Linked DNA regions of Arabidopsis thaliana. The protein of the gene in region 1 interacts with the protein of each later gene in a pairwise test. Each region holds a gene or a part of one and is shown on either strand. Other genes may lie near its edges.

The links.
Region 2: the proteins of SYD (region 1) and RSL4 interact in a two-hybrid assay, tested with the Arabidopsis thaliana proteins (one large-scale study listed by BioGRID).
Region 3: the proteins of SYD (region 1) and AT1G51120 interact in a two-hybrid assay, tested with the Arabidopsis thaliana proteins (one large-scale study listed by BioGRID).
Region 4: the proteins of SYD (region 1) and NF-YA5 interact in a two-hybrid assay, tested with the Arabidopsis thaliana proteins (one large-scale study listed by BioGRID).

The regions. Positions count from the first base shown.
Region 1 is NC_003071.7:12,053,238-12,061,966, forward strand, and holds the start of SYD (P-loop containing nucleoside triphosphate hydrolases superfamily protein), read left to right. Parts: upstream 1-3,533; coding exon 3,534-3,641; intron 3,642-3,735; coding exon 3,736-3,797; intron 3,798-4,045; coding exon 4,046-4,161; intron 4,162-4,258; coding exon 4,259-4,648; intron 4,649-4,749; coding exon 4,750-4,805; intron 4,806-5,322; coding exon 5,323-5,483; intron 5,484-5,570; coding exon 5,571-5,635; intron 5,636-5,717; coding exon 5,718-6,110; intron 6,111-6,225; coding exon 6,226-6,386; intron 6,387-7,064; coding exon 7,065-7,162; intron 7,163-7,478; coding exon 7,479-7,664; intron 7,665-7,779; coding exon 7,780-7,960; intron 7,961-8,047; coding exon 8,048-8,239; intron 8,240-8,327; coding exon 8,328-8,371; intron 8,372-8,589; coding exon 8,590-8,646; intron 8,647-8,729. Other genes in the region: AT2G28270 (Cysteine/Histidine-rich C1 domain family protein), read left to right, coding at 415-1,161. UniProt on the Arabidopsis thaliana protein: Catalytic component of the chromatin structure-remodeling complex (RSC), which is involved in transcription regulation and nucleosome positioning.
Region 2 is NC_003070.9:9,652,086-9,660,138, forward strand, and holds RSL4 (root hair defective 6-like 4), read left to right. Parts: upstream 1-2,389; 5' UTR 2,390-2,667; coding exon 2,668-3,021; intron 3,022-3,112; coding exon 3,113-3,307; intron 3,308-3,395; coding exon 3,396-3,527; intron 3,528-3,625; coding exon 3,626-3,721; 3' UTR 3,722-4,004; downstream 4,005-8,053. Other genes in the region: AT1G27750 (nucleic acid binding protein), read left to right, coding at 5,340-5,646, 5,958-6,676, 6,889-7,931. UniProt on the Arabidopsis thaliana protein: Transcription factor involved in the regulation of root hair elongation. Is sufficient to promote postmitotic cell growth in root-hair cells and is a direct transcriptional target of RHD6 and RSL1.
Region 3 is NC_003070.9:18,933,900-18,941,137, forward strand, and holds AT1G51120 (AP2/B3 transcription factor family protein), read left to right. Parts: upstream 1-4,191; coding exon 4,192-5,250; downstream 5,251-7,238. Other genes in the region: CRR41 (potassium/sodium hyperpolarization-activated cyclic nucleotide-gated channel protein), read left to right, coding at 443-1,078; AT1G51110 (Plastid-lipid associated protein PAP / fibrillin family protein), read left to right, coding at 1,481-1,774, 1,844-1,897, 2,009-2,083, 2,184-2,306, 2,379-2,570, 2,653-2,736, 2,824-2,916, 3,004-3,057 and 3 more; AT1G51130 (Nse4, component of Smc5/6 DNA repair complex), read right to left, coding at 5,581-5,835, 5,930-6,021, 6,106-6,322, 6,679-6,769, 6,866-7,118.
Region 4 is NC_003070.9:20,215,305-20,223,886, reverse strand, and holds NF-YA5 (nuclear factor Y, subunit A5), read left to right. Parts: upstream 1-4,434; 5' UTR 4,435-4,698; intron 4,699-5,154; 5' UTR 5,155-5,180; coding exon 5,181-5,639; intron 5,640-5,665; exon of another isoform or gene 5,666-5,724; coding exon 5,725-5,898; exon of another isoform or gene 5,899-5,926; intron 5,927-6,012; coding exon 6,013-6,306; 3' UTR 6,307-6,551; downstream 6,552-8,582. Other genes in the region: CID3 (CTC-interacting domain 3), read left to right, coding at 542-719, 817-1,038, 1,112-1,239, 1,306-1,369, 1,469-1,499, 1,604-1,821, 1,904-2,047, 2,145-2,243 and 2 more; SPL2 (E3 Ubiquitin ligase family protein), read right to left, coding at 6,584-6,860, 6,945-7,064, 7,247-7,368, 7,460-7,621, 7,710-7,808, 8,036-8,407. UniProt on the Arabidopsis thaliana protein: Stimulates the transcription of various genes by recognizing and binding to a CCAAT motif in promoters. Involved in the blue light (BL) and abscisic acid (ABA) signaling pathways.

The DNA.
Region 1 (8,729 bases):
ATTCATGACTACTAATTACAAGAATTTCCTTAACTTTGAATTATTCCTTCCTAAACGTATAGAATTATCCCCCACAAAGTTCCTTGGTCACGTCAGCCGCATTAACCCGTACCTAGTCTAGTCAATGGAGTATATATGCAGAAGATAAGCATTGAGTATGAGAGATTTTGATTTTTGACCTAGTAGAACCCTACATATAATACCTATGTTGCTAACAATATAAAATTTGATGTTAATTACAATATATGTTTCTCCATGTCAAAGTCAACTCTCTTTTATAAACTAATACTATGTTAGTTAAATAGTTTCCCAAATGTATCTAAGCTACAACTTGGTCAATAGCCTCAGTTTTTGGTATATATAATTATAGTTTGCAATTCTCCCTCAAAGCCTCAAAATCCCATCAAGAACAATATGGGTTCAGGAAAAACTAACCGTCCATCAGTGAGACACCCGAGTCACAATCATCCGTTGCGGGTCTTCAACTCCAAAGAAGAAGATGAGATCATTTGCTCCGGATGCGAACATGATCTAATTGGGCAAGCTTTCAAGTGTACAAAGTCAGAGTGCGATTACTTCTTGCACAAGTCATGTTTCGACCTTCCCGGTGAGATCCATCACAAGTCTCACACAAATCACCCTTTGACCTTGCTCCATTCTCCACCGAATGGCCTATCCACTTACACGTGCGATGCGTGCGGTGAGTATGGATCTGCTTTCACTTACCATTGCTCAGAGTGCAAATACCATGTTCACGTGGGATGTGCGTTTGTCCCCGAGAACGTGAAGCGTGAAGATCACGAACACCCACTCACTCTACTTTACAACACACCATGCAAAGGTCGTAAGGACGGTGTGGTGTTCATATGTGATGTTTGCGAAGTAGATGTGTCGGAGAATCTTTGGGTGTATTACTGCAAAGAATGTGACTATGGGACACATGTTCATTCATGCACGACAAATGAAGACAATGGGCCAAAAAAAGGAGGAGAAGAAGAAGGAGAATCAAGCTCATTATCGACTTCAAGGATAAAGTCATTAATGGAGGCTGAAAAAGAGATGAGAGAGATGGCGATAATACATCAACTACAGTTAGATGCTCTTGACGCAGCAGGTAGTTATGTCGGTTCATGGGAACCAAGGAGAAAAGATTATTGGTAAATGATGAATCTTGGGAGGACCATCAAACTTTGTTTGAATTATATTCTTTTGTTTTCATTCTGATATCGTTCTTTCTTTGTATGGTTTGCAAATTATTATTTTTCATGTGGCTTGTTGTAATGTTATGAAATAAAAATAGTTATATATTTTGCTGTTTGATTTATATTCACCGATTCTGATTGATGCTTATATATTACTTTGTTTCCATCGCTTCTAAATGTCAAATGATAATATTCTAAGATCATAGCAATTGAGATCACATGCTTAAACAACAAACAACGACATTTTTTTCACGAATCCAGTCTTACTATTAGAGGAATAACGAATCAAGAAAAGGTTGTTAAGAGAGAAAAAGAAAACAAATTCATTCTCATTCATCTTAATTGGGACCGGAAAGATTACATTGGAACCTCTTATATAGTAAGAGATACTCTAAAACTGAGATAAGTAAACACCACAAAACAAAATTAAGAGATTAGGGTGTGTTTGGGATTTGCACTGAGCTTGGAACATAAGAGCACACAAGTGGGTAACAAAACTTGTCTCTAGATTCGCCAAGATCCACTTTACTCAAGATTCCATTATTTCCAATGATGTAAGCAATATTGCGAGCGGGAAGGTGACATTTGTCTATTATCTCTTTATCAAGAACAACCGCGACCTTCTTCTCCTCGTCAACGAAGAAACTCCTACCGACATTAGGAAACCAAAAACCAGCGACTGGTTTCATATCAACAGCAAATAACAAGTTGCTCCACGACACTGCATTAGGCTCAATCTTATTAGTAATCCATATCTCGACGACGGATGCCCGGTGAAACAGCACCGCAAGCTGCTCTTCTCTAACACTAGCAAGCGTCACAGTATCTCCAAATACGGCTCGGAAAGGCAGAGGCAGACGCGGTTCAAATCTTGAAATCAAAGGATAGTAGAAAATCAGGGTGATCTAGTGATGGTAGACCATGAAATGGGATCTCTTCTAGGGCATACCAGTAAGTGTTTCCCTTTAGAGACACGCCACTGTGTTTGTACAAAATATACCAGTCTGGAGTGAAATCATCAATGACCTCCCATGAATTGGAGTATAAACTGTAAATCTGAAGCTCACGAATTCGGTCCCTACTGGTCTCCAAGTACTCATTCACGAATCTCAAGATTTTGTGATTCTTTTTCTCGTATCCGAGAGCGTACTTCACGCACTTGTGGTAGATAGAATTTCTAGGTAATTCGATATACCTTGTTTGTCCCAAATAAGGGTTCCAAACAACAACCCTAGAAGAGTCTTTGTCTCTGTCCTTGTTGATGCATAAGAATAAACCCTTGGCAGTGAAAGATTTTAGATATTTTGATTCCATCTGCATTGAGATTACCTATAGGATCTATAGACGGAGAGAGTAGATCTACGCTCATCAAGGAAACTCTATAGTCCATCATCATCACCACCTCAATTCCATTCCTCTGTTTCTTCTTTAAAAAGCTCTCACTTTTCGTTATAGTGTTCCACTTTTTGCAGGTCAATCGCAGTTTCCCCAGAGATTTCACCGGAACCCTAGAGAGCACCTCCTCCTCCATATCAATTGGAAGATCGAACATCTTCGAATCGAATCTCCCAAAATCTCTCTCTCTTTTCCGTGTCTATCAATCCATCTCTTCACGCCCTCTTTTAGTGATATAACTTATCTTTTTCAATTTGGGCTTTATGGTAATGGGTCAAGGCCCATTAAGGGGTCTCGTTTAGAACTCTTGATTAATGTCTGAAATAAGTTTTATACATTTCTTCATTTGGAGAGTCATTTCGCAGAGACGACGCATAGCTTCTTCACTTGTCAGCTCTCAACGTTTCTCACCTGAAATTTCACTTCTGCTTCGTCTTCTCGAGCCGGATCTCTAATTTGTAAAGCTCCCTCTCTCTTTCTTCTTGTTCTTCTTCGTCTCCTTCTACACTGATGGATCGTTATTTAGCTATTTAGGGTTTTGTGAGTTGCATTAACTAGAGTAACTCGCGAATTCTTCTCCTTTGCCTTGCGATTTGGGGAATTTTTTAGCTCCATCAGCCAATTTTACAATTTTGTATGTATCCGTGGATTTATCACATGAATTGTGGACCTCTGAGTTTTTTTTTTTTGTTAGGTTCTTCTCGCTTTAGTTTTGCTTTTAGGTACATAAATTTTCCTCCTTTATGATTTACTTGCTCTTGGGCTATTTTCTTTTATTTGTTTGGTATGGAGTATGGACTCTAGAGTTTAGTTTAGTTTTTTTTTTTGGGCACATTGGTTGGAATTAGTCTTGTTTTATTCTGAATTGTGTAATCAATATCTGCATGCTTGTGGTGATGCAGGGAATTCTTATGTGATGGTGTAATTTAAGTTAAGATGACGTCTTCTTCGCATAATATTGAGTTGGAAGCAGCTAAGTTTCTGCATAAACTTATTCAAGATTCTAAAGATGAACCTGCAAAGCTAGCAACTAAACTTTATGTGGTAATGTGGCTTCACCACTCAGTGTATGTTTTATTTTGTAATTTTGAGCTTTATTCCTGTGCTTTAACTTTGTTTATTCTTTCGATTACTCTAGATATTGCAGCACATGAAAACCAGTGGAAAGGAAAACACAATGCCCTATCAAGTCATATCTAGGTATTGTTTTCCTTATATATCGTCGCTGGTTATTTGTTAATGAATTACTGATTAGGTTGAGATGATATAATCTTCTTACGCTGTGAGGACGTGGGGGCTGCTTCTTACTGAATCAGTTGCTTTAGCCTTTATCTAACTCAAGACTTTAGAATCTAGTTATTCTGGGTCTTTCAGCGTCAAGCTGTTTCTCATGCTTTCAAAGATTTATCACTTTTGTTTTACTGATAAAGTCTTTCTAAAACTCCCAGGGCCATGGACACTGTAGTCAATCAACACGGTCTTGACATTGAAGCTTTGAAGTCCTCGTGTCTTCCTCATCCTGGTGGTACCCAAACGGAAGATTCTGGGTCTGCACATTTGGCTGGTATATCCTCTCTCCTTTGTTTCAGTTGAGTGTTTCAATTGTTTTTTTTATTTATTTATTTATTATCTTAAGCTTCTTGCATCAATGTGGAATACAGGGTCTTCCCAAGCGGTTGGAGTTAGCAATGAGGGTAAAGCAACTCTAGTTGAAAATGAGATGACAAAATACGATGCATTCACTTCTGGTAGGCAGCTTGGTGGATCAAACAGTGCGTCACAAACCTTTTACCAAGGGTCTGGAACTCAAAGTAACAGATCATTTGATCGTGAGAGTCCATCCAACTTGGATTCTACGTCTGGAATTTCTCAACCTCACAATCGTAGTGAGACAATGAATCAAAGAGATGTCAAGTCGAGTGGAAAGAGAAAGAGAGGTGAATCATCACTTTCATGGGACCAGAATATGGATAACTCTCAAATATTTGATAGCCACAAGATTGATGATCAAACTGGAGAAGTAAGCAAAATAGAAATGCCCGGTAATTCAGGTAGGGATATTTGCTTCAACATTGTTTCTTACAGAACAAAGCATATCCTTTTTAATCTAGAATATAAGAAGCACCCTACAATTGTTGCCATTAAACCTCAGGTGACATTAGGAATTTGCATGTTGGGTTGTCCTCAGATGCATTCACGACTCCACAGGTACATAACACTAAGTTTCCCGAATCCATCCAGATTATATACATATTGTGTACATAACATTAGGTTTATGAAATCATTTTGAGCCTCCCTGACTCTGCCAATTTCAAATATTTTGGGACTTTGTGCTACACGTATCTGATGCACAATAACTTCTTAAGAATGTATAAAGAGATATATGCTGGCACATGGTGGCTTATTCTCCGAAACATTTGTCTCTCCTTAGAAGTATTATTTTCTTATCTATTTTCGTTTTCTGTATTGGAAATATGAAAAAAATGCTTGCATTTCCCGTGGTGATTTTCTTTGTTTTTTAACCTAAAAAACTTAGATGCCACTAAATTCACTTTTTCAAAAACGTGATTTGATTAAAACTTTGCCTTCTATATGATGTATTGAATCTTACTTGCATATAGTCTGACTTAGGCTCTGCAAAATGTCCTTTCCTCTTTTATTTCATACCAAGATACCTCGTTGGAACTCATCCCCTCTATATGTGGGATCTTATTTTCTATGGCAGTGTGGCTGGCAGAGCAGTGAAGCCACAGCAATCAGGCCTGCAATTCATAAAGAACCTGGAAATAATGTTGCAGGAGAGGGATTCCTGCCTTCAGGTTCACCTTTTAGAGAGCAACAACTGAAGCAGCTCAGAGCCCAGTGCCTTGTGTTTCTAGCTCTTAGGTACCTTACAGTCTCCTAGCCTCTGTATACTCCTTTTGGTGCGGCAATTGTAACTCTAAAAATTTCTGGTTGATTTTCATCTCGTAGAAATGGTTTGGTACCGAAGAAACTTCACGTAGAGATTGCCCTTCGAAATACTTTCCGCGAAGAAGGTAATGTTGGTGCTCACTGAAGTTACTTTCGAATCCACTTTTTACATGCTTTCCCTTGGATCATAATTGGTCTTCATTACAGATGGTTTCCGCGGAGAATTGTTTGATCCGAAAGGGAGAACACATACGTCCAGTGATCTGGGTGGCATTCCTGACGTCTCTGCACTGTTGTCAAGAACAGACAATCCCACTGGAAGATTGGATGAAATGGACTTCTCATCCAAAGAAACTGAGAGATCAAGACTAGGGGAAAAAAGTTTCGCAAATACTGTATTTTCTGACGGGCAAAAGCTTCTAGCATCTAGAATTCCCAGCTCTCAAGCACAAACTCAGGTTGCTGTTAGTCATTCTCAACTAACGTTTTCTCCTGGTTTGACCAAAAACACACCATCAGAGATGGTGGGGTGGACTGGAGTAATCAAAACTAATGACCTCTCAACTTCTGCTGTTCAACTCGACGAATTTCATTCTTCTGGTTAGTGACTATCTTAGATGGGATTGTTTTAACTGATGGGTCTTTCCCTTTTGGAGTGTAGTATTGTTAACTAATTTGATTGATAACTCTTCGAATATGGATATATGGCACATAGCAGATGAAGAGGAAGGTAATTTGCAACCGTCGCCTAAGTACACCATGTCACAGAAATGGATTATGGGTCGACAGAATAAGAGACTATTGGTTGATCGTAGTTGGTCCCTTAAACAGCAGAAAGCCGACCAGGCAATTGGTTCACGGTTCAATGAGTTGAAGGTCTTTCTCTAGCCTTTTCTTTCATTGGTGTTACCTTTTGTTTCACGAGTGATTGATTTTTCCTGGTGTCAACGTTTTATGCTGTTGCTTGTTGTTTGTGGTGGTTCTTACTTTTCCGTGTTCTTGATCTTGTTATTGGAACAGATCAATGATCATATTTAAGTATCCGATTTTGGATATAGAAGTGCCTGACATTGTGATTGAGTAAATTGTTTAGCTATTCCATCTTCAGCTCTACCCACTGTAACCTGTCAGACTGATCCCAGGAATCAATTTTGATCAAGCTAATATATTAAATTTGATCTCAGTGAGATAAAATAATGGCAAGTTGTACTTGGAATTTAGGCAAGCATTTGTAACCTCTTTTATGTATTCGTCTTCCATTAAGGAACACTTATTTGCTCAGTTTACAAAATTCACTAAAAAACAACTTCCTGTAGTGGGGTTCTTCTTTTCGATTTTCATATTGTAAATAACTGCGAAGTTAGCTGTTTTGGCCTTAGGGTAATGTTTTTGAAATGACCTTCACATTTGACGTTATACTGAAGAACTAGTTGTACTTCACATTTGCAGAAACACTAAGGAACTAGCTGTACTTGTGTCCTTACTTTATTAGGTTCTTAGTGATTACTATATATTCTGGATCTGGATACTGATTCATGTACCCCTAATCTGCAGGAATCTGTGAGTTTGTCTGATGATATATCTGCAAAGACCAAGAGTGTAATAGAACTGAAAAAGCTTCAGCTGTTAAATCTACAACGGCGATTGAGGAGGTGGGTGTATGTTATTTGCTTAAAAAATATCAGGAAGGAGATGTTTCGCCTTATTATATCTCGGATGCAACTAGATATTTTGTTTTTGTAGCTGTACGTTATTTGCTTAAGAAATATTAGGAAGGAGATGTTTCGCCTTCTTATATCTATTATATGCTAAGTCGAGCTGGGGTATTGATATAACTAGATATTCTGTCTTTGTTAAACTACGGAGGATGCAAACTATTTTGTTATATGTGTAAAATATATGCATCCACATATTCAACCTGTTGTATCACCTCTCAGCTGCTATTGTTTTGTTGACTTGTTGAATCAGTGAGTTCGTTTACAACTTCTTCAAACCTATTGCAACTGATGTTGAGCATCTAAAGTCATATAAGAAACATAAGCATGGCCGGAGAATTAAGCAGCTTGAAAAGTATGAGCAGAAGATGAAGGAAGAGAGACAACGAAGAATTCGGGAGAGACAGAAGGAGTTCTTTGGAGGGTTAGAAGTTCACAAGTATGTGCAATTAGTTTTCTGACCTAATTCATTCTTCTTATTAGGTGCATCGAATAGTAGACGATATTTTTTATACTGCTTCGTACTTAATCCTTGTTTGAAAACCTGGCTTTAGGGAAAAACTAGAGGATTTGTTTAAAGTTAGGAGAGAAAGGTTGAAGGGTTTCAATAGATATGCAAAGGAGTTCCACAAAAGAAAGGAACGACTTCACCGTGAGAAGATTGACAAAATTCAACGTGAGAAGATTAATTTGTTAAAGATAAATGATGTGGAGGGTTATCTCCGAATGGTGCAGGTTTGGTCTCGGAACTGACTATGGAAGTTTTTGGTTTATATTGCTCCTTTGATACTGGTGTGTATATGAATGTTGCTGAATATGTAGGATGCCAAGTCAGATCGAGTAAAGCAACTACTCAAAGAGACTGAAAAGTACCTTCAGAAACTTGGATCCAAGTTAAAAGAGGCTAAATTGTTGACCAGTCGATTTGAGAATGAGGCAGATGAAACGCGTACGTCAAATGCTACCGACGATGAAACTTTGATTGAAAATGAAGATGAGAGCGACCAAGCAAAGGCAAGTTATATCTCAGGTTATTCCTTTTTTTTTTTTTGGGTAAGCTTTCTTCCATCTGTTTCTCATGGTTATGATACATACTATACAGCATTACCTGGAAAGCAACGAAAAATACTACTTGATGGCTCACAGGTAATATTCTGCATTCTATAGTTACAGTCTAAACATTACCCTTAATGACATTATAACGTTTTAACTTTCTGTTTCGTATGTGAGTTGTCACCTTTCTTACCATTTTTTTTCTTCTCGAAAAGGTGGTTATGTTGTTTGTAAATAGTCATATGTGGATATTATTCCTCATTCATCTATTCACTAGATTTTTCCTTTTTTTTTTCTTTTTTTTTTTGCAGTATAAAAGAAAATATTAACGAGCAGCCATCGTCCCTAGTGGGTGGAAAGTTAAGAGAGTAAGTAGACCATGCCCCTATACATTTGAGACCTTTTGGTAATAGTTTTTCGTGGGATGTTTACAGCTACAAAACCTGACATT
Region 2 (8,053 bases), on another chromosome or scaffold:
ATCTTGACGATTTATCAATATTTTTATAGAATCATAGATATAATCGTATAATCCAATTAGTTCATATACATTTAACTCTTCAAGAACGATTTATCAATATTTTTATATTTCTATTCAAAACAAAACTAATTGACATTAACTTAAATATATTTAAAAGAGCAGAGCATAATTATTTAGTAATAATATAATTAATGTGCTGAATGATATTCTTGCAATAAATCTCACTTAGAAGCAATTCTTTTGTTTTATTTTAGTGAACAAAAAGTATTTTCCTTGAGTTGCTCTGTGGTTCTCAGCTTGACACATTAACATTTTCTCTTACATGAACTCAATTAAATTATAGATGATATGTTTGTCTTTATAATTAGGAGTAAATGATTATGTGCATACATATTATATTCAGGGGTTTTATTTATGTCTGTCAAATAATTTAACAGAAACTGAGGATTGAAATTATATATGTATAAGGTTTTCATTTTTATTTTGTTCTAGTTGACTTAAAAAGAAGAAGAACTGATTGAATAACGAAACCCTTATATACAAAAAAGCAATTTGTGTCATGAATAACCTAACTTAGGATCATGAATAACTTAAAAATTAAAATACATGCATGAATAACGAAACCCTTATACAAAAATAAAAATAATTGTAAATTAACGATCTCATATTGTAGGGATATTAGAGAAGTGCAAGTTACTCCATCGTATGTAAATTATGTATAGTTTTTCGTCGTATTCGAAGTTTAAAATCTACCAAGCATTCTCATACATCGGATTTATTATAATATCGGACCAGAACTAACGATTATTGTCCTTAAATCCAATGGAATATGAATATGGCGACATTCTGACTTTAAGCAAGACAAGAAATCGAGCAGTGATCATGCCACCACATTTCACTTTTCATTTTAATATACATAACATATGCATGCTAAAAAAACAACAGTTCGTACAAGTCAAATCATTGATAATGAACTAAAATGTGATTATACCATAAGAGTATAAAACGATATGATGTAATTACGACACATTCTTTGAACCCGTGTGTATTATTCACGGAATTGGAATGTTAAGAGGAGTTATAAGTCTTAAGAATGAATGAAACAGATAGGCAAATCCGTAAGGTGCAATGTACCGTAACCCGTCCTCTAAATTTTGAAACTTAGAGACAATTGAACATATCTTCAAGCTGTGATTTTATTTTCTTTGAATATTTTTTTGTTTGTAAAAAAACTGATAAAGAAGATTTTATGTGGGGATGATCTTAAGACAAAAAACGAGTTTGAATCTCATCTTGTCGGAATCTCCAACTCTGTTCTGTGCCGTCCTAATATAATTTTAATTATGTTTATTTATCTTTTGTACGATTATGCATACCTACTTGACCTTTTATAACTTATAAGGCAATTTGCCTCCCAGCCGGACCAAAAAGATAACAAGCTCAGATAACTTTTTTTAAAAAAAATTTAGCAAACAGTCAACTATAATACATACAAATTAGCTTATTCTTTTCACATGCCCATAACTAGATTAATTTATGTGTATATATAAGGTGTTGAGTTTATATATAATACATACAAGTATACAACTACAATACCATGCATTTATATATAATAAAAGTGTTGAATTCGCCTTATTTGCTTATAAATTTGAAAGTCCTCGAAGTAACGGAATTTTCAAGTATATAACAAAAGAATGTTCACACTTTAACACATGAACAAACGAATGTTAACACTTTAACATTTTAAAGTATAGTTTATGGCTTATTCTTCCCTTCTAGTGTTGTATGGTTTTAAACCCCACACAAGACCACAAATGTATATAGTAACATTTTGTGTTTAAAATGAGCTAAGACTCAACGTGAATTATTCATTTATAACTCATTTACCAATCTATCCATTACAGCTGTATGTTTTTGGTATCGATAAGTGTGTTAGGGCAAAATATCACCATGGCTTTTGATCACTCTCTTACGAATGAGTTTTTCTTCATATATTATTATTCTTAGCTCATAGCTTCATCCAAATAAGTTAGTTATCGACGCCGGATATATATCATGCTGCCTCCAAAAAAATTAGCTAAGAGAGACCTACCGGACAATTAGTAATTTAAGGTAAAAAGCGGCATGGATTAAAAGTTTCTTTTTATTTTCTTGTTCTTTTTAGTGTTGTTGAATTTGCGATAATGATTCCACAAATCGTGCATTGGCGTGGCCATATTTTATACTTCACCGCTTCTCTTGTGTGGCCAATGTAAAGTCTTTCTCATTATTATACTAATCTCTTACCATCTTATACATAATGTATTTTAATTAATTGAGATGAATGGATAGTTATAAATAAGAATATGTTAATGTGTCGTGAAGGAACAAAGCCTGTTGTTGTCGACCCCACAAGTTGACTGATCGTGTTCATCATCATGCATGGCTTCGTTTCACTTATTTAATTAACGACTTGTTCACGACACAAATGATTGTACCAGTTTAAGAATCTCTTGATCTCTCTTCATCATCACCAAATCTTCCTTGAGAAATATTCTCTCCATCATCAAGTGTCTCCAACCTATATATATATATATATAGTTGCACAAGTTCAAGAATTATCATAACAACAAACTAACAAACAACAACAACAACAACAAGAAAGGCAAGAGTTGATCAGTTAGAGCGATGGACGTTTTTGTTGATGGTGAATTGGAGTCTCTCTTGGGGATGTTCAACTTTGATCAATGTTCATCATCTAAAGAGGAGAGACCGCGAGACGAGTTGCTTGGCCTCTCTAGCCTTTACAATGGTCATCTTCATCAACATCAACACCATAACAATGTCTTATCTTCTGATCATCATGCTTTCTTGCTCCCTGATATGTTCCCATTTGGTGCAATGCCGGGAGGAAATCTTCCGGCCATGCTTGATTCTTGGGATCAAAGTCATCACCTCCAAGAAACGTCTTCTCTTAAGAGGAAACTACTTGACGTGGAGAATCTATGCAAAACTAACTCTAACTGTGACGTCACAAGACAAGTAAGTGGAAGATCCAATATATAATGTTTACTTTCATTCACTACTACTACGCAATAAACTAAATAAAATATCATTAATTTGTGGGATATAGGAGCTTGCGAAATCCAAGAAAAAACAGAGGGTAAGCTCGGAAAGCAATACAGTTGACGAGAGCAACACTAATTGGGTAGATGGTCAGAGTTTAAGCAACAGTTCAGATGATGAGAAAGCTTCGGTCACAAGTGTTAAAGGCAAAACTAGAGCCACCAAAGGGACAGCCACTGATCCTCAAAGCCTTTATGCTCGGGTTAGAAAACATACTTTATATTACTTCGGTCTCAAAACCAAATGACAATGAGTAAAGTCGTTCTTAAGTGTGTTATCAATTGTTGCAGAAACGAAGAGAGAAGATTAACGAAAGGCTCAAGACACTACAAAACCTTGTGCCAAACGGGACAAAAGTCGATATAAGCACGATGCTTGAAGAAGCGGTCCATTACGTGAAGTTCTTGCAGCTTCAGATTAAGGTATGTAGATTGTTAAAAGGATTTTTTGTTTTTAGTCAGAATCTTATCATAACTCATGTTCAAGTTAACTAACCAAAATGCATATTTTATAAATGTAGTTGTTGAGCTCGGATGATCTATGGATGTACGCACCATTGGCTTACAACGGCCTGGACATGGGGTTCCATCACAACCTTTTGTCTCGGCTTATGTGAAGGACTTACAAGTTACAATGTCAATGTAAAGAAACCCATTTAGAACATATATATCCCTATTTGAGCCAAACTAAAGAGATCTACGCTAAGATCCTACCATTTTCTTCTTGTTGTTCATTCTGATATTTTTATTATTCTTAACTTCTTTTGTCTCTTTCGTCATTATGGTTCTAAGAACTTTTGGTACTCTTTTTCTTTTCTTTTTTGTAATTATATTTTTAAATTATGAAAAAGTCAACTCAGACTAATTAAATAACAATCGTCTTTCCTTTTGCAATTTGAAAACAAAGATAAAATTGTATTATTTTATGCCAGGGTTTCGGTTATGTTTCGTACGACTCCAAAATTCACCAATCTTCGAAAAAATATATTGATTTATTCGACCGACTTTATAGCAACTCATGATAAAAGATGTATATCAACTTTTTTTTTTTTAGTGGTTACTTCATATTGTTGATTATCATTATCACTTTATCAGTGCATATTCAGACATAAGGTGCATATTGGCACAATTAATCTTTTAATTCTTGTGAATAGCACATAACTTGTGTCTAAAAAGTTAAGTTTTTGAATACCTAATTAAACAAGTGTTTGTGGAAACACCCTACAATTTCTTTTGGCCACTTAATTTTTTATGATTTGAGTCTAGAGATGTGATTGTGAATATGTGATGATACCGCACAAATCGTTCTGCTGTGCGACGATGTGATCGATCAATGGAAAAAACGTCCAATAACAAGCGGATTTGATATCATTCGCAAAGCCACGTACCGTACGTTCAAAAGATGTCCTTCATATGAATATCGACTAAGAACGTTTTGATTTTTGATTTATTAACCTTTCATTGCATTTCTTTCCGACATCTTCTCTCCATTGTATTTAGAAGATGAATTTAGTCAAACATTGAAATAAAATTTGCTATGATAACAAATTTTGTGTCATTCATCATAAATTTTAAATTAGGTGTTATAGGCTAACACTTATATTCTAGGTTTTAGAACTCATAAAGTTATCCCAAACATCTGACTGTAACAAACTAACTATACATCCCAATTTATGCTTTTACACGTTTTACCTCCCAAACTTTGATCTATTACCATTCAAAAAAATTACAGCTCTTCACTAAACATTACGATATATTAGAAGCTACACAATTCCAAATCTCTAACTGAAATATTGTTTTTTCATTTAGTATACTTTGAATTTTTTTATTAGTTGTTTTTAATTAGATGCTATATGTTTTTTTAATTAAAGATGCAAAGATTCAAATTCCATGATTTTGAAAAACTCATTTTTTTTTTTTTTTTTTAAATACCAAAACTCAAAAATTATCAAAATACAACTATTATATGTTGACAAAAAAACAATTTATCCAAAATTTTTACTTAAATACCATCCCTTGAACACGTTCCTAGTTTCGGTTTGGTTTGGCTTGATGTTCTAAAAAGCGATTCGGCTTTATTAGTCAAACCAAACCGTATCGTGAATTCGTGATCGCCTTTAGCCACCGTGAAGCTTCTCCGCGAGCTAGAGGGTCTTAAACACTAACAAAATACGGAACTGACAAACACAGCAACCGAGACTCTCTCTTCTCTCTCTCTCGCTCTCCGTCGCTGCCATGGCTTGCGCCGAGCAGCCTATCAAAAAGCGTCGTCTGTATGAGTCAATCCCTGAATCTCACCCTCCGCCACCACCGCAACTAGAATCCCAATCCCCTTCTACGGTGGTAAGCTCGTTCCCGGCTCCGGTGACACCGTCGCCTCCATCTCAGGAGGAAATTCAAACGAGAAGTAGGAACAGAGAAGAGATTCGAAGAGTGCATGACTGCTATAAGCGTCTTAAATCTTGTGTTGCTCAGAGAGATGGTGGCGGCCGCTCTGCGAATCTTGAGCAAGCGTATCGCTCCCTCATCTCCGCTTCCAGAGGTTTATTTTCTCTCATTCTTAGCTCGATTTAGTTCTATCAATTGGATGATTGAGAATCTGCCATTTTCCGGAGTTGATTGAGCTCATTTTTTTTTTTTTTTTCCTGAAATTGAGTTTTGTGGTTTTAGATAACTTTGTATGAGAAAGAATACTTCTTAACTGAATTAAGTGAATATTAGGGTTACAGATTCATTAGCTCTAGCATTATGATTCTAATCTTTGGACACCTCCTAGAGTAATTTTTGTTAGTTTGTTGGAGTAATGATTTAGTTAGTTGGAGTAATGATTTAGTTAGTTGCTTATACTTGCAGGTTGTACTAGCGTTAAGCGCCTTGTGGCTGATCTCGTTCCTCGATATGCATTGTACTGTCCTACGGCTATTGGAGATGCAGTGCAAGCTGTTATTGACATGCATAACTTCAGCTTGGAAGCTTTAAAGAGAGGACAAGATGCTGATGGTGTTGCTTTTCAAACTGCTAAAGCCTGCATATTTGGTCTAGTTGACCTATGTTCTGCTGCTTTATCGAAGAAAACGTCATCACCAGGGGCTCGAGATATCTGCTCTGCCGTGTTCAGAAATGTGTTAACCTTCTTTGTGCTTTCTTTTGAGGGGAAAAATATCTTCCAGATAGTTGATAAGAGCGATTTGAAGTTGCAAGATCCTGACGAAATTTTTTCTCAGCTGATGCAAAAACTTTCAGATGGAAACTCGTTACCTTTGATCAAATTATCCCAGTTTCGTGTTTTAGCTTTACTGAAAGTATTCTTCAACTTCCCTAAAAAATCAATTGCCACTTGTTTCGGATTCTTCAATTCTTCATCCACGGAGGATGTAGCAACGGGGAGGTATCTCATTACTCATATGACAGAAAAGATTAATGATATTGATGCCGCTAGTATTGAACCTGAAGTAGACGAGAATTCTGGTCAGACAGGTTCTAACAATATAGAGGCTACTGGTAAGAATGCAGAAGGGTTGAATGGTGTACAAGAAGCATCAAACAGTCTAACGAGCTGCTTGTTAGAAATGGTAATCCTCTGAGTAGTGTAGAATCAAAATAAGTAGCCTTTGCTTTTCTTAGCGTGTTATTTATTTGTGTAGGGCTTTAGTTATTATTTTTCCCTGTATTGAGCATCAACCGTGTCACTCATTTTATTCGCTTGCTCTGTTCTTGGAACTTTGTATGGCTAATGTGTAATGGGTATATTCAAATCTGATAGTTTCAAGAATCCTTCGTGCAGGTTATTAGGAAGAGTTCCTCCATTGGTAGGTGGGCCTTCTTTCAGTATAAGAAAATATGCAGCCTGTCATCCTTCGTGGATATATCCAGTGCTGTTACTTCTCTAGAGGGAATCTTTGGATTTGTTGGAAAAAATATCAAGTTAGAAGATTGTCAAATGGACAGTGACGAGGATGATTATGGAAAATTTTCAGTTTCACATGTGAAACCTCACAGTTCTGCAGACAATGATGTCCGCTCTAGTGCTGGATCGGTTTATGATGCTGGAGGTTCACGATCTATGGATTTTGAGACTGTTGACCAGAGAGACTTGTCATGTGGTAGATCTTCAGTCCCAAGGGGATTATTAAACCAGCATACACCATCTCCTTCTGCAAGAGGGCCTTCAGATTTAAGAAGTAACTCTACGGATCGTAGGAACAATTTTGTTCTTGCAGGATCACCTGTTTATCAGGCAGTACCCCATGGCCCTTCATCAGGGCAAATTGCTTGGTATTTGGATGGGGACCCCACTGCTTTTGACATTTTTCCGGCTTCGGGGCAGTTGTGGTTAGGCTATTTAGGACCAGATGAAACAGAAGGTCATCTAAGGTTTCAGCTTGACAGGTACGGCCCTGTAGACCGTTTCTTTTTTGATCCAGTGAAAGGATTTGCTCTAGCAGAATATAGAAGCATAATTGATGCAATCAGAGCTCGAGAATATCTGCGAGCGCAATTTCCTTGGCGCATTAAATTTATGGATATAGGAGTGGGTGCAAGGGGATCTTTGAATGGAGTAGCATATGGTTATTGTACTCATCTGTATATTGGAGGCATCAGTAGCCAGTGGGAGAGGGATGAAATTGTCCATGAGTCGCGGCAAGCCCTTTATAAGGGGCCTCGCATGGTGACTGACCTGTACTATGAACATGCCCTTCTGATGGAGTTTGATACACCTGATGATGCTGCAATTGTAATGGCCCATCTCAGGTTTTTTCGGGGAGAAAAGAGTAAATTTCATTTGGCATCAATCAATCGTCCTTTGCCTCATGAAGATGGAGGAAGGTTTGTCTTCGCTTCTTCTGACCTATGTTTTCTTTGATGATTTTGAACTATTGACATTATTTTTAATAATGAAATATCCACAAGACTTTGTATCTTCTTCTCACAAACTCTGAAGCGTTTTG
Region 3 (7,238 bases), on another chromosome or scaffold:
TTCTTGTGTATATCACGTTTTGGTTCTAATACAACTTTTATTTGCTCTTCTTTTCTTGGTAGTAAAATACAAATAGTAAGATTTTTCGCATAAAAATATAGTTTCTGTTAGAAAATAAAAGTATATTAGCACGAAAGAATGGAAACTAAAAACTCTGAGACCGGCCTCTCCAATGAGTGACATGAGTCGATGAATACTCAACTATTATGTTTTTACAGTTTACTTATCCACAGATGACACTGTTTCTTTCTACTGTGAAAAGAGCAGCCGTGGTGCTTACACCTCCACACGACACCGTTTAAACGGAAACTAAAAACGACGTGACGTTCTTGTCTGAAACACTTAAACGACGCTATAGTGTACTGTAACTCCAGAGAAGGCCTTATCTTTCTCCAATTCTCAAAACCCTCTTTAACACTCTTCCTCTAAGCTTTTTAAATCAATGGCTTCCACTTCCACACTTCTTCTTCCATCTCTCTCCTCTAAGAATCTTCACATCGCAGTCCCAATAAGAACCAATAGCTTCGTTCGTCGAACAACAAAGTTCTCAACAAAATGTTCGTCGAATCCAGAGTCAAAGGATCAATTCATCAATCTCACACCAGCACCTGAATCAATCAACACAACAAGCGCAGAGAAATTCCCAATAGAGAAACGAAGAAGATCAGAGATCATACGAGACAGAACACAAAGAGGAATCGAGAAACCAGAGCCACCAAACTTCGAAATCGGTTGGAAAAGAACAAAAGAGATAAACTTGGAGAAACCTAAAGGTTATGTAATAATGGATTTCTTAGAAAAGTTCGAAGCTTTAATGGCGAGAGAGTTTGGATCAAAGGAGCTTTTAGCTAAAGCTGGTGAGATTGTTGCAGAGAGAGCTAGAGAAGAAGCTGAGGTTTTGAGAGATGAAGGTAAAGTTGAAGAGAGAATGGTTACAGAGCTTTTTAGGGTTTTGAAATTGATGGAGATGGATTTAGCTATGGTTAAAGCTTCTGTTAAAGATGAAACTTTGAGTCAGAGGATTGAACAAGCTAGAGCTCGGTGTCGACAAGCTATTCTTGTTGCTAATTCTTTCTAATTCCTTCTTCTTCTACTTGCAAATTGAGTCAAAAGTCTATGAATTTTGTTTATAGTTTTACACAAAACAGAGCTTCTTCATCTGTAAAAGATCTTATTTTTTTGGTTCTGTAATCATCTCTGGATCATTCATCTGTTACTTTAATGGTAGAAGAAGGATTGAAGATGAGAGTCTCATGTGAAGAATCAAAACAAAGATTCATGCTTTTGGTTTTGCAATTTGTGAGGAAGCTTAAGGGTTTTTGGGAGGAAAAAACTTAATTAGTTGAGAAAATTTTACTTCCACTAGTTTCATATTTCAAGATATTTCACCAAGACTCAAGCTTTATTGTACACCACACATTAAAAATGCAAAGTTTAATCATTTTAACAAAAGCTTCACAAGCAGCAGTAGACAGCAACAATGGTGGCAGTCAGATTCTACGCTGTAGAGATGTCGCTACCATGTTTATGTCCATGCCCATCATCGCCGATTTCTCTTTCATTGTGTTCTCCGAGATTCAATCTTCTTAACACAACAAGCAGGAGACTAGGTTTGTCTAGAAACTGTAGAACTCTGCGAATCAGTTGTTCATCTTCATCTACTGTCACTGACCAAACTCAACAATCGTCTTTTAATGATGCTGAGTTGAAACTCATTGACGCTTTGATCGGAATTCAAGGCCGTGGCAAATCTGCTTCTCCTAAACAGCTCAATGTGTGTAAAAACTTTAAACTTTCTTTAATTTTCCGTCGTGTTTATGATTTGAGAGATTCTCTGTTGTAGGATGTTGAATCTGCTGTGAAAGTTCTTGAAGGTTTAGAAGGCATTCAAAATCCTGTATGAAATGTTTTCTTGTGAATCCTTTTATCTTCAAATTACCAAATTCTGTTATGTTTTGTTCTTTGACTCATTTGGTTGTCTTTTGGGGAATGTTGTTTAAATGTTTAGACAGATTCTGACCTAATCGAAGGTCGTTGGCGATTGATGTTCACCACAAGACCTGGAACTGCATCTCCAATCCAAGTCAGTTCTTCTCACACATTCATCATCATATCTCCATTTTTTCTAGATGATTGTAATTTGTGTGTAAGAAGAAGAGCAATGGAAGGATTTGTCTCTGCAGAGAACATTTACAGGAGTTGATGTGTTCACTGTGTTTCAAGATGTATACTTGAAGGCAACAAACGATCCTCGTGTTTCAAACATTGTTAAATTCTCTGATTTCATTGGAGAGCTGAAAGTTGAGGTGAGTTTCTTCACTAAAGTCTTTGCATCAAAAGACTGAGATGTTTATACTTTGAATTGTTTCATTTTACAGGCAGTTGCGTCGATCAAAGATGGGAAACGAGTTTTATTCCGTTTTGATAGAGCCGCTTTTGATTTGAAGTTCCTTCCTTTCAAAGTTCCATATCCAGTTCCTTTTAGACTTCTTGGTGATGAAGCAAAAGGTTGGCTAGATACTACTTATTTGTCGCCTTCAGGTAACCTTAGGATTTCTAGGGGAAACAAGGTAAATGAGTTTCTTGATTCTCAAAAAGAAAATTAAAGCTTTATAGCATTTTTATCCATGAGGCTGTATATTTGTAGCGCAGGGAACAACGTTTGTTCTTCAGAAAGAAACCGTGCCTAGGCAGAAATTGTTAGCCACCATATCTCAAGACAAAGGAGTAGCTGAGGTAATGTGTCATGCCTTCAAGAAATCTGAAAACAATCGATAGTTTCGGTTTGAAATGGAACCAATGGATCGTTTAGTATAAACACAGGCTATCGATGAGTTTCTTGCGTCTAATTCTAATTCCGCGGAAGATAATTATGAGCTTTTAGAAGGAAGTTGGCAAATGATTTGGAGTTCACAGGTCACTTCTCTGATAACTTTAGCTTTTGTCTTGAACAAGCACTTATATTCGTTTGGATAAGCGATTTTTCGGGTTTTGTGTTTGCAGATGTATACAGATAGTTGGATTGAAAATGCAGCAAATGGTCTTATGGGAAGACAGGTAAACATTTTATTAGAATGTCTTAGGTAGTCTATTGTTGCTTCAGCTGGCTTCGTTTAGCGAAATCGAGTATCTTATTCAGATCATTGAGAAGGATGGGAGGATAAAGTTTGAAGTTAACATCATTCCGGCATTTAGATTCTCCATGAAAGGCAAATTCATGTAAGTCTCTGTCTTTTAGATTAGTCATTTTGCTAACTTTTTTGTGATCTTGTTTCTTGACTGGTCTCATGAATGATTTGCAGAAAATCAGAAAGCAGTACATATGACTTGAAGATGGACGACGCAGCAATTATAGGCGGTGCATTTGGATATCCGGTCGATATAACAAACAATATCGAGCTAAAAATTCTGTAAGATCTCTCTATCTTCTTCTTCTACTACTTTCACAAATCACAACATATAATAATGCATTTGAATTGCTAATACAGAGATGCTTACTTTAATGTTTGTAGGTACACAGATGAGAAGATGAGGATAAGCCGAGGATTCGATAACATTATCTTTGTGCACATCCGAGAAATTTAGCTGCATTGTTCTATCAGAACCTCTTATTTGAACATATGAAAAAAAATAGTATGTAAGAAACTGTCAAATGTTTTACAACAATGGAAGGTGATAGTTTAAATTTTCTCTGTTCATTAGTTTTTTTGGATGTAACAGGAACCAGAAAAAACAAGAAACCACATGATATAATTTTCGCTACTAATGTCTAAATTAAGACAAAATTAACATTAAGAAAACTTTACTTTTTGTCTTAATCTTAAACAAATTCACTGAATATTTCTTTCTACAAAGAAAATACGAATATCTCACTAACAAAGGAAACTTACCACTAACAGCTTCTGGTGGCATTAATTACTCTGTAAATTGCCATTTTTTCACCGAGAGAAAACTAGAAAAACAAAACAAAACATGGAAACTGTAACATTCTAAAAGATTCATTGTTAACAAAACCAACAGAGAAACATAATACTGATTTTCCAGGATTTACTCCCTCAAATCTCTCCTTCAAATACTCTTCCTAATCTCTTCTGTTTTCATTTTGCTTGTTCCCTGCGAACATCTCTCTCTCTTCCTCTGTTTCTTGTTTTTTTGTCCTTTTCTTGATTTTTGTATTTTTTTGTTATGGATATGGACGAGATGAGCAATGTAGCCAAGACAACGACAGAGACTTCAGGCTTAACTGACTCTGTCTTGAGCCTCACGAAACGCATGAAACCTACTGAGGTTACGACCACCACAAAACCTGCCTTGTCCAACACGACGAAATTCAAAGGAGTTGTTCAGCAACAGAACGGTCATTGGGGTGCTCAGATTTACGCAGACCATCGAAGGATTTGGCTTGGAACTTTCAAATCCGCTCATGAAGCCGCTGCTGCTTACGATAGCGCATCGATTAAGCTTCGAAGCTTTGATGCTAACTCGCACCGGAACTTCCCTTGGTCTGATTTTACCCTCCATGAACCGGACTTTCAAGAGTGCTACACGACAGAAGCTGTGTTGAACATGATCAGAGACGGTTCTTATCAACACAAGTTCAGAGATTTTCTCAGAATCCGGTCTCAGATTGTTGCGAATATCAACATCGTGGGATCAAAACAAGTCTTAGGAGGAGGAGAAGGTGGTCAAGAATCGAACAAGTGTTTCTCGTGCACGCAGCTTTTTCAGAAAGAACTGACACCGAGCGATGTAGGGAAACTGAATAGGCTTGTGATACCTAAGAAGTATGCAGTGAAGTATATGCCTTTCATAAGCGATGATCAAAGCGAGAAAGAGACGAGTGAAGGAGTAGAAGATGTGGAGGTTGTCTTTTACGACAGAGCAATGAGACAATGGAAGTTTAGGTATTGTTACTGGAGAAGTAGCCAGAGCTTTGTCTTCACCAGAGGATGGAATGGTTTCGTGAAGGAGAAGAATCTCAAGGAGAAAGATATTATTGTCTTTTACACTTGCGATGTCCCCAACAATGTGAAGACATTAGAAGGCCAAAGCAAGACCTTCTTGATGATTGATGTTCATCACTTTTCAGGCAACGGTTTCGTGGTTCCCGAGGAAGTAAACAAGACGGTTCATGAGATTTCTGATGAAGAGATGAAAACAGAAACCCTCTTTACCTCGAAGGTAGAAGAAGAAACCAAATCAGAGGAGAAGAAAGGAGGGTTTATGCTGTTTGGTGTTAGGATCCAATAGCTAGCTACTTGGTTCTTAGGTTTTTTATATTATAACTTAATTAGAGTATGGTTTTTATTTGCTTTTGTATTACATAGTTTTTTTATTTACAAACTCGATGCTTCGATTTTGATATCTAACATTAATTAGATAAATTGTCTCTCTTGAGTAGATCAAAAAAAAAAGAAGAAGAAAAACCAAAAGAGGCTTTAAATTCTTCTTCTTTTAAGAGTTAAGACAAAAGCCACTTAACTGCTACAAACTACAACGAACTAAACAATCCTAACAAAGACATTTAGTTAATGTCACAAAATGAAATAGATACAACTCACTTCTCTCTCTATACACTCCTTAAGAAGAGGTGAGTCTCCGCTTACATCTCCTTCGAGTCCCATCGCCCTCTTTGTCAGGAGTATCTTCTACAACAGTTTCTTCTTGTACAACCAACCCTCGGTTTCTCGATAGTTTTCTTATTGGTGTTGTCTGAGTATCTTGTGTGAAGTCTGCTGATGCAGGGGCTGATGCAGCGGGACAAGAAGATGAAGCAACTGCAGTTTGTCTGTGTGGCATTAGCTCCTCGCCCAGTGGCACCATTTCAGACATCAACTGTTTGACATATATCATCACATCAACATAAATCAGACATCTTCAGGACATAATTTAACAATCTAGAGAACGAAATGAGATTCTATTTTATTACCTTCCAATCTTTGAAATCTAATCTAAACACAAAATGGTTATAAATGACTTCACCCGACATCACCACGTTTGCATCAGGTGCATTTCTCGGCACTGAGGACACATTAGGAGATCAAGTATAAGTGAAACGAATTAAATATCAAAACCAGACACAAGAGAGTGGACTTGTGATCTTACTGGCGAAATGAGAACCACTTTTGTCGACAATGATCTCAACTCGTCCATCTTTGGCCAAGAAAGATAGAGCAAACAAATTCTCTACAGTCTGTGCAAATGACCGCCTGTTGAGCACCAAATTCTCAAGCTGCACGCGCTTCTTTTTCCCCAAGATGTTAAACATTATTGTCATATTCTTGTCTGTATCAGTTTTTTCTTCTGATTGTGAATCATCTACCTGGTTATTATTATGCGTATGCAAATCAGCTTGTTTATTTCTTATTAAAACCCTAACTACATAACAATCAACAAGCTCCACACAAAGCATCGCATCATATTTCACAGATGGCGAGGGCTTTTAACTTCAGTATGTTTTTTGTACTCAAATCAACTATATACAATTTCACATTGGATATCATGCAAACGACTATTAAACACCACTGATCGATCAGGCTGGGATAAGAAAAGCATTCAATGAATCTAGGCAAGGTGTTAAGATGTGCAGTCTCAAAGGAGAATAGGACTACAGGTACAACATAAGTGGAATCAGTTTGATAAACTCAAACAAAATGGGGTCTGCAAAACATTTCTTACCTCATCTGGACGAACACCTTCACCAGGCTTTGTACGTTTTCTGTTGGGTGCCCTTTTCCTTTGCTTCAGTTCAGTATCCATAGGTCCCAACCTGGTAACAAAACAGGTAAACAAACCTTTGTTTAAACAGAATATACTCAATTACAGCAAAGCAAATCAATATAAAATAGTTATTATGAGAACTCACATTGTAGAACAACCACATGATACTAAAACAGTAGAACAAACAGCAAACCCAAGATCCTTCCACTTTAAAGATACTTGAGCAGTTTCATCAGTATCAATCCCCAAAGAACCTTGACCAAACCCACTGATCAAAGCATTAACAAACTCAGCCGGTGAAACCCCATGAGCAGACTGAGACTTCACCGATGACATTAAAGTGTTTGCTATATCCAGAAGTGCCTCTGCGTCTGCAATTTGTTCCCTAGGCTTCCGAACTACAAGAAACATTGTAACCAAACCAAAAAAAAAAGGTCTTTTCGTTAGTAATACAATACAACTTGAGAAAATCATAAGCTCCTCGTCTATTGCAACCTTTGTTAACTCAAAAGACATCA
Region 4 (8,582 bases), on another chromosome or scaffold:
GTTGTATCGGGTTAGGCTGAGGGAGACAACATCGTTTTCTCGATTTCTATTCTTGGTACTATGATTCTTTTTTTAATAAAAAGAGTTTTGTATTTTATTCATGTTCTTGATTCTTAACTCTAACAAGTAGCCATAGATTTATTTATCCCAGTTCAATTCCTCCCATTGGTTGGTTAGGTTGTGTAAGCGGGCTACACCGCCTTGCAGTTGGTTGGACCAATATGGGGTTTTGGTGGGTTTTGCGAGTAGGCCTGTCGTTTATAAAATTTTCATTTTTCTTTACTTTAAGTTTAATTTTTATACAGAATCAAATAGAAATATAGTATATAATACATGTAATTTTCAAAATAAATATCATTTTACTTAGTAAATTGAATATAAAAAAGCTTTTTACATATATTGAAAATTACATGCGGGTTAGTGTGAGACCTCTGTCCGCAGTTAGTTAACCCTGTTCTCTTTTCTTATTCTTTCATCATGTACACTTCCTGGGTTAACGACACTTCTCATGACATCTTATATGTGTGTGATGATATCGTAGGGGCTGGAATCAGTTTGAGGTCAATAAGACATTATTTGGAGTAACAAGCACTTTTGATGAGGAACTGTATACCACAAAACTTGAGAGAGGTCCTGGAACGAGGGAGCTAGAAGAGCAAGCCTTAAGGATTGCGAGAGAGATTGTGGGTGAGAATACCCGAGATATTCACGTAGCAGAGGTGAATTATGGATGTCTTATGTGACACTGAATTTTTACGTTTTATTGTTGTACCATATTTCACCTCTAATGGTCATGCGTGCAATCATCTTACACAGGAAAGAGGGCTCCAGCTTAGTGGAAAGTTTGATATTGATGAGGAAACCAAATACTCATCGGTCTGTGCGACTAATAGATTTGATGATACGTGTTATGAAGACGATGAAGAAGAAGAAGAAGATATATTATTGGATTGCTGCAACAATTTGACTTTTGGTGATTCTTCTGCTTCTGATGGCAAGGAACCTGCTTCAACTGGCAAATTCTATGAAGATTCATGGGTATGGTTGAGTTCTTCACTCCTAGTAGTTTCTAGGAGAATCATAGGTGATATTGCCATTTTTTGTCCTTCAGGGTGACAGCCTGCATTTACGGAGTAACAAAATGGTAGATCAGAGCTGGTCGAACTCAAATAAGCATACTCGCCAGCTTATGTCCGAACTGCCATCCAAAGATTTTCCTGTTGCAGGAAACAACATCAGGTCTTTTTCCCTTTGAACATACAAAATATCTTTCATTGAACTAGTTTCTGAAACTCATTCTGATAGGAATGAGAGCCAGCTTGGTGAGCAAAGAAAGAGCAAATTCCTAGGGGCTTCCCTTTTTAAAAAGGTATAAAGTTAAACGACGCACCTTGTGTTGATTTGGCATTTGCTTAATGGAACATTACATATAACACTGTTCTGTTGGCTTCAATCTGTATTAACGCAGCCATCTGAGGAATCAGTGTCTGGTTTTGAAGGTATGTGCAACTTCAGCTTATCGAATCTATCTACTCCCGTTTCATCTTATATGTTGATACCAATTGAATTTCCTACTAAGTTTTTAATTGCCACCTCAATGAAGATGCACCACCACCTGTGAAGCCAAGTTTCATTGATGGAAGACTCGGTCTACTCTCTGACAGAGCAAAGTCTGAGAACTCTTCTGGGTGGCCTGGAAGCTCCATTTCTAGAAATTCAGAAAACTCTGCAGCTTCCTCAGCATCAAATCTTCCAATACTGTCACCAAGCTCTTCGGGTTCTTTATCATCAGAAAAATCCACACTCAACCCAAATGCTAAGGTTTTTTTCTTAGTGCTTAGGTTATCATCTAATATCTCCTTAATACTATAAGCTTTTTACTAACGAAATTAGGTCCGACCAGGAATTTAAACTGAACCCTAACGCAAAGAGTTTCAAACCATCTCCATCAGCAACACGTCCTCAATCTCCTCAATCTCCAGTCTTTGACGGATCATTCTATTATCCTCCTGTTCCACCCATGCCAGGACTACATATTCGATACGGAGTAACTTTTCTTTATTCTTTATCTAGTGATCAACGCCTAAATTACTCTTTAAGTCTCTGTTATTATGTTTCTGATTCACTAAGTTGAAAATTGACAGACGGGAGCAGCATTCCCTGGGCAACAACACCCAATGATGTATAACAATACAACACAGCTTAGTCCGAATCAAACATATTATTCTCCAAATAGTCCACAGGTTTGTTTATTGCTATTAATAGTCATTACTCTTGAAAACTCTTTACCTTCTCTCTATTGTAAGACTGAATTTTGGAATCAATGTTAAAACAGTACCCACAACCGATGATGGTTACTCAGCAGAGACCAATCTTGTTCATGCCGCCAACGCCATACCAACCGGTTTACTACTTTACTTCAAAATTCTTGTTTTGTCTAGTTACAAAAAAAAAATGATCAACAGAGTTAGATTTTGCTGACATCTTTGATTTTATTGCAGGAGATGCCATACAAAGGAAGAGACTCTTATTAGCTTTTGGCCAAAACCATGAATGGTGGTGGCACAAGAGAAGGTCTCGAGCTGATGGAATTGGTTTCATTTAATGTACTTTATTTTTATTTATTTCCAAAGCACCGAATCTTTTCATTTTTATTCTAAAATGAACACAATTGATGTGATGGTGATTTAGTTTGTTTAGGTATTAGACTAGATTTTACATTAGATTCGTGCTGATCTCATTTCTTTATTCACTTCTGTTGTGTCTCCCTATTCAAACTTTAACGTTAAATCTTTTAGTTGTATGACATATTCTGTGTGGAGTTTGTTTTATTTATATAAAAACAGTTAGGTAGGAAAAAAAACTTTTTCATTTGTGAAAAGGAAAATCAACGATTGTAGTTCAATCTTACATATACGTGTTAAGACATGGTAGGGAAAAAGTGGAGTGCGTCTATGATTGGATTTGAAAGCGTAATGTTTAAAATTTGGAACTATTAGATTAATAATGGGTTTAGTCTTGTCTTGTCCTAAAATGCATATAAATCTTATTGCGGTGTGTTAAGGATCGAGGTTAGGGGAGATTCGAAAATATTAACTTTGTCGTGTTTGAAAATATTAGTTTAAGTAAGTCTATAAACATAAACATAGGTAAATCAAATAATTGATTTCTAAGAACTTCTAGATACTGTTGATATATAATAATAATATTTGAAGTAACACCTGTAACTTCCCTCGTTCGAAGCATGATAGTTACGCATTTCTTTTCTCTAAAGCAAATAAGTAAAAGGTACGTGTAGCAAACAACAATTAATCTTCCCCACAATACAAAGTCTCGTATTACTTCAATTATTACTAGTTAAACAAAGTGTCATTGTAGTGAACTACAAATAGGTGTCCAAGAAATAGAAATGTTGCTATATACTATATTCTTTCTTTTGGAGTGTATTTATAGTGTTTTTTTGTCTTCCTTATAATTACTATTCAGAGTTGTGGATTAAATGCAGAGAGATAGTGCAGAAATTACGATTCATTGCTGCTTTGTGTTGGGGAAGCTGCATCAAGAAATGTGAAAAAGGGCTCTTTCGCTTTGCTTTGCTTTGCTTGACTTGCAATAATATCAATTACCCCAACTACAAATATAAAATATTTTTAATTTATTCGCTTAAATGCTACTATATTGATTGCGCTATAAAGAGATGTTGACAACCTTCCACTTAAACTTTTGCTTTTTAAATTAAAAAAACACCTTCTTAAACAAAAACAAAAACAAAAAGACAGAAAAAAAAAGTACGCTTAGATAATACATAATTACATATCTTCAACTATATAAACAATGTTTTAGAATTCTGCACATTTTTGTTATGAAACAATTAAGGAATATGATACTTCAGATACCCTCTATATATTATTTAGAATCTTTGAACCTTGTAATATATATGCTGAATAGAATCGCATATAAATTGATAAAACATCACTGATATGAACATAAAAATAAAGGTGTTAAACATCTTTGAAATAAATGGAAATATTTACCATAAACATTTTTACTTTGGTTTTTCTTGTCTTCTATTTTCCTTCCTAACATTTTAATACTATCATTTATATATTTAGATATATTTCTAGCCTTGTCTAGATTATACACGCGTCACACTTCTAAATTTATATCTATCTTTTACTAGATTTTTCTATTATTTATTGTTGCCTACATATTTCTATTTTGTTTTGTAATAAAACTAAACCTGATTTGAAAATTATAAAAGCACTACGTGACACGATTTGATTCGATATACTTAATTTTTGAAACATAAACAATATAAACAAAGATAAGAAAAAATACCACAAATAGAAATGTCAAACTCTGCAAATAAATTCAGAAATGGAAACAAAATAATATTTTAAAATATTTAATAAATTGTGTGTGAATAAATATGCATTTGTTGAGAGAAGAAAACCATAATTAAAAAAAAAAAAAGAGAAAAGGAGTCAAGATTAGTCTTTTAAGCCATAGCCAATACCCAATTTGCAGAGACAGAGGAAGAGAGAGAAAGATAGTGAAGAGAAAGAAACAACCATGTTCTGAGGAAGGAGACATGCATCATCATCATCATTCATCATCATCATCATCATCATAATCTCAAGCTTATTACTTAACTTCTTTTTCTCTCCATCTCTTCTTACCAAATCCAAAGCACCAAAGGTCTCTCTCTCTCTCTCTCTCTTCTTGTTCGCTTAATTTATTTGGTAGTGATGTTATGATTTGGTTGCTCAGTTTCTACTTATGATGATATAATTAAAAATAATAATTTTTGAGTTATGAGAGAAAAAAATCTTTTGGTTGGTTTCTCTGTTTTCTTGGATCATTAAGTTCAATGAGATTTGATGAGTTTTTTTATCTGTTCAAACTCAGAAATTTAATCTGTCGATTTTAGTTTTTGTTTGCATGTTGTGTAAGTTCTAGCCATGTTCAAAGTTTGAATCTTTTGGAACCCTTTAGATCATGAAACAATCTTACTGTGTCATTGAACCTGGAATCTGTGTTTTAGGATTGCTTTTATAATCTTTTGGTATCATTTCTCTCTTGTATTTGTTGATTATGTGGATCATGAATAATATCATATGATTTATGACTGGACTTGTTGGTTTGGACATTTAGTTTATTGAAGTAAAGATTTGAAGACAATGCAAGTGTTTCAAAGGAAAGAAGATTCATCTTGGGGAAACTCAATGCCTACAACAAATTCAAATATTCAAGGATCTGAATCTTTCAGCTTGACTAAGGATATGATAATGTCTACAACACAATTACCCGCGATGAAACATTCGGGTTTGCAGCTGCAAAATCAAGATTCAACCTCATCACAATCTACTGAAGAAGAATCAGGCGGCGGTGAAGTTGCAAGCTTTGGAGAATATAAGCGTTATGGATGCAGCATTGTTAATAACAATCTCTCAGGTTACATCGAAAACTTGGGAAAGCCTATTGAAAATTATACTAAGTCAATTACTACCTCGTCGATGGTGTCTCAAGACTCTGTGTTTCCTGCTCCTACTTCTGGTCAAATATCTTGGTCTCTTCAATGTGCTGAAACGTCACATTTCAATGGTTTCTTGGCTCCTGAATATGCATCAACACCAACGGTAATATGCTGTGAAGCCTTTTGTGCTTTTACTATTCTGAATCGATCTGGCGCATTGATTGGTTGATTGGGAAATCTTTTTGCAGGCGCTGCCACATTTAGAGATGATGGGTTTGGTTTCTTCAAGAGTGCCATTGCCTCATCACATTCAAGAGAATGAACCAATATTTGTCAATGCGAAACAGTATCATGCGATTCTCCGTCGCAGGAAGCACCGTGCTAAACTCGAAGCTCAGAACAAACTCATCAAATGCCGTAAAGTATGACTGTTTTCACTTTCCATTTTGCCTAAAACACCAAAGAGAAAGAGGGAAAACTAACTCAGAAGATCTTGATGATTTGATGTAATAAAGTTTTGTTTTCTTTTTCTGTAGCCGTACCTTCATGAGTCTCGCCATCTTCATGCTTTAAAGAGAGCTAGAGGCTCCGGTGGACGTTTCCTCAATACAAAGAAGCTTCAAGAATCATCAAACTCACTGTGTTCTTCTCAAATGGCAAATGGACAAAATTTCTCTATGAGCCCTCACGGTGGTGGAAGCGGAATCGGGTCTAGTTCGATCTCACCGAGCTCCAATTCAAACTGTATCAACATGTTCCAAAACCCGCAGTTCAGATTCTCAGGTTATCCGTCAACACACCATGCCTCAGCTCTCATGTCAGGGACTTGAGGCACATGAGAAGACCTTGCTCCGAGAGAACTCAGGCTAAACTCCGGAGACTGGTGATGATACATGACGGGAAGTCATCCTTGGCTACTTATGTTATCGGTTACAAAATTTCTTCCTTTTAAAAACTTTGCTTTCATATCCTCTACAATCTCTCACTCTATATTGAGTGACTTGACGAACTTTCAAATCATTGTCAAACTATTTTGTTAACTTCCGATTCTCTGAGAGTACAAATTGCATTACCCTATTACATACAATGAGAGAAGATTCAGGGTCACTAAGAGTAATATACACGCATAGATCCCCTAATGCTCTGAAGACAAACTGGACACTTAGGGTTTAACTCTCGTTCCACGGTTGAAGCACATCGCCTGCAACATACTACATGTCCACAGGGAATAAACGCAGGTACTCTCCTTCTTGACACGCAGATCACACACAATTCTCCATCTGGGATTTCATCTGCATCTTCGGGTTCATCATCGACCACAGAATCGTTCGGTCTCTGTGGCAGTTCTCTCTGATGGTTCCATTGTTTCCATTTATTCCAGGTCCTGAAGATAAGACAGTTAAACAGATTTCAAATCGAAACATTGCCCAAATCTAAAACCAAATCTGATCTCTCACAACTCCAGTACCTGACAGCAGCATAGCTAAGGATGCCAACAGACACAATGCCCAAGATAACGCTGCCCAAGAATATAAAGTTGGTCTGTTCCATAAGGTCCTCAATCATCTTGTCCTTGGTCATCTCTGATCTGCAAAGATTATTCATAAAGATTTATATATGAACAGCAAATAGAGCCTTTCTGCAACAATGGACTAAATCTTGTCAAATGATCAACAGATTGAGAAAACATAAAGAAGAAGATGAAGTAATAATTTGAGCTAGAACGCAGGCAGATATATAAGAACGAAAAATATTCAGATAAAATCTCACAAGAAATAAGGAAGATCTTGGCACGATTTGATTTCAGGAACTCCATTATTAAAACTGTAGATGCCAACAGCTGTTATATCTTTCCCAGGTGGTAAAATCTTCTCTATATCAAGCAGACCAACCTTGGAAGAGAAAGGATTACAAAGTTAGCCAAGAACAAGTAACCATCAGTTCCTCAAAACCAGAAATTTCTTTGAATATATATATACTCACAGGATAATCGGGGTACAAAAAGGCTTGAAGAAACGAAGAATTAATAGGCTGCAAGCGATTATACACAGTGGTAAGCGGAAGAGGTTGCCTTGAGCCATCCATGTTAACAGCGACAAAACTAGAGTTCGATTGCTGATCCTTTCCAACAATGACAAATGGGACCTGCACAAAGCAAAGGATACACAAAACAAGTTTGATCATGGATACAGAGCCAAAGTTGAAAGCTCTGAAGCTGATAGAGAGACTTTACCGTTCTCGTAAAATCAGCACCGTGTTTGCGCAATGATCTCTCCAACATAAACCGGTGACCAGTGGACTGAAACAATCTCTTCCATCCACTATACACATACTGTCAACAACAAAATGATGACATTAGAAACATACATTTCCCTTCTGAGATCACACCAGTACCAACTTACATAATCCTAACTTAATCAATCACAATGAACACCTAATCATGAAGAAATCATCCAAACTCTTTAACCTAAGCCTTTGATAAGAACACAAAGCAAAATTAGGTCAATGTCAATTGCAATTTGAGGGAAACATAAACACTTAGGGTTTAGAGCAACGTACAGTTTGCGTTCTCTGAATGATAAGAGCTTTATCTCCAGTCTCCGGAGAGATTAACACGTTGTTGTTCTTGTAACCCTCATCACCGGAAATTTTCGGTTTGACGACTCCGCGAACCACAACGATTCGCTGATCATTGCTCTTCCTGTTATCGTTAGTCTCTGATTTGTCTTCAGAAGCCGGAAGCAGTGATCGGAGGTCGGAAATGGAGACTTCGGGTGCATCTTTGATCTTCTTCAACGCGGCGTTGGTAGAAGCATACTTGAGAGCAGAACCGACGGCGCTAACAGCTAAAGTCAGTCCGAGGATTGCGCCGTCGAAGGAGAGAGCGATGTCCGTCAATAGATTCAAGAGAGCACGCTCCGGCGAGGACATTGTGGTAATTTCGATTTCAACGTCGTAGACACGGTCACACGGACAAGTAAACGGAAGAGAAATGAGGCTATTATCGGTATTTAATATTATACATTCGACCGTCGTTCTAATTTGGGTCTTTAATGGGCCTATGCACGAGTGAAATACAAAATACTAGTAATAAATAGCGTTTTAG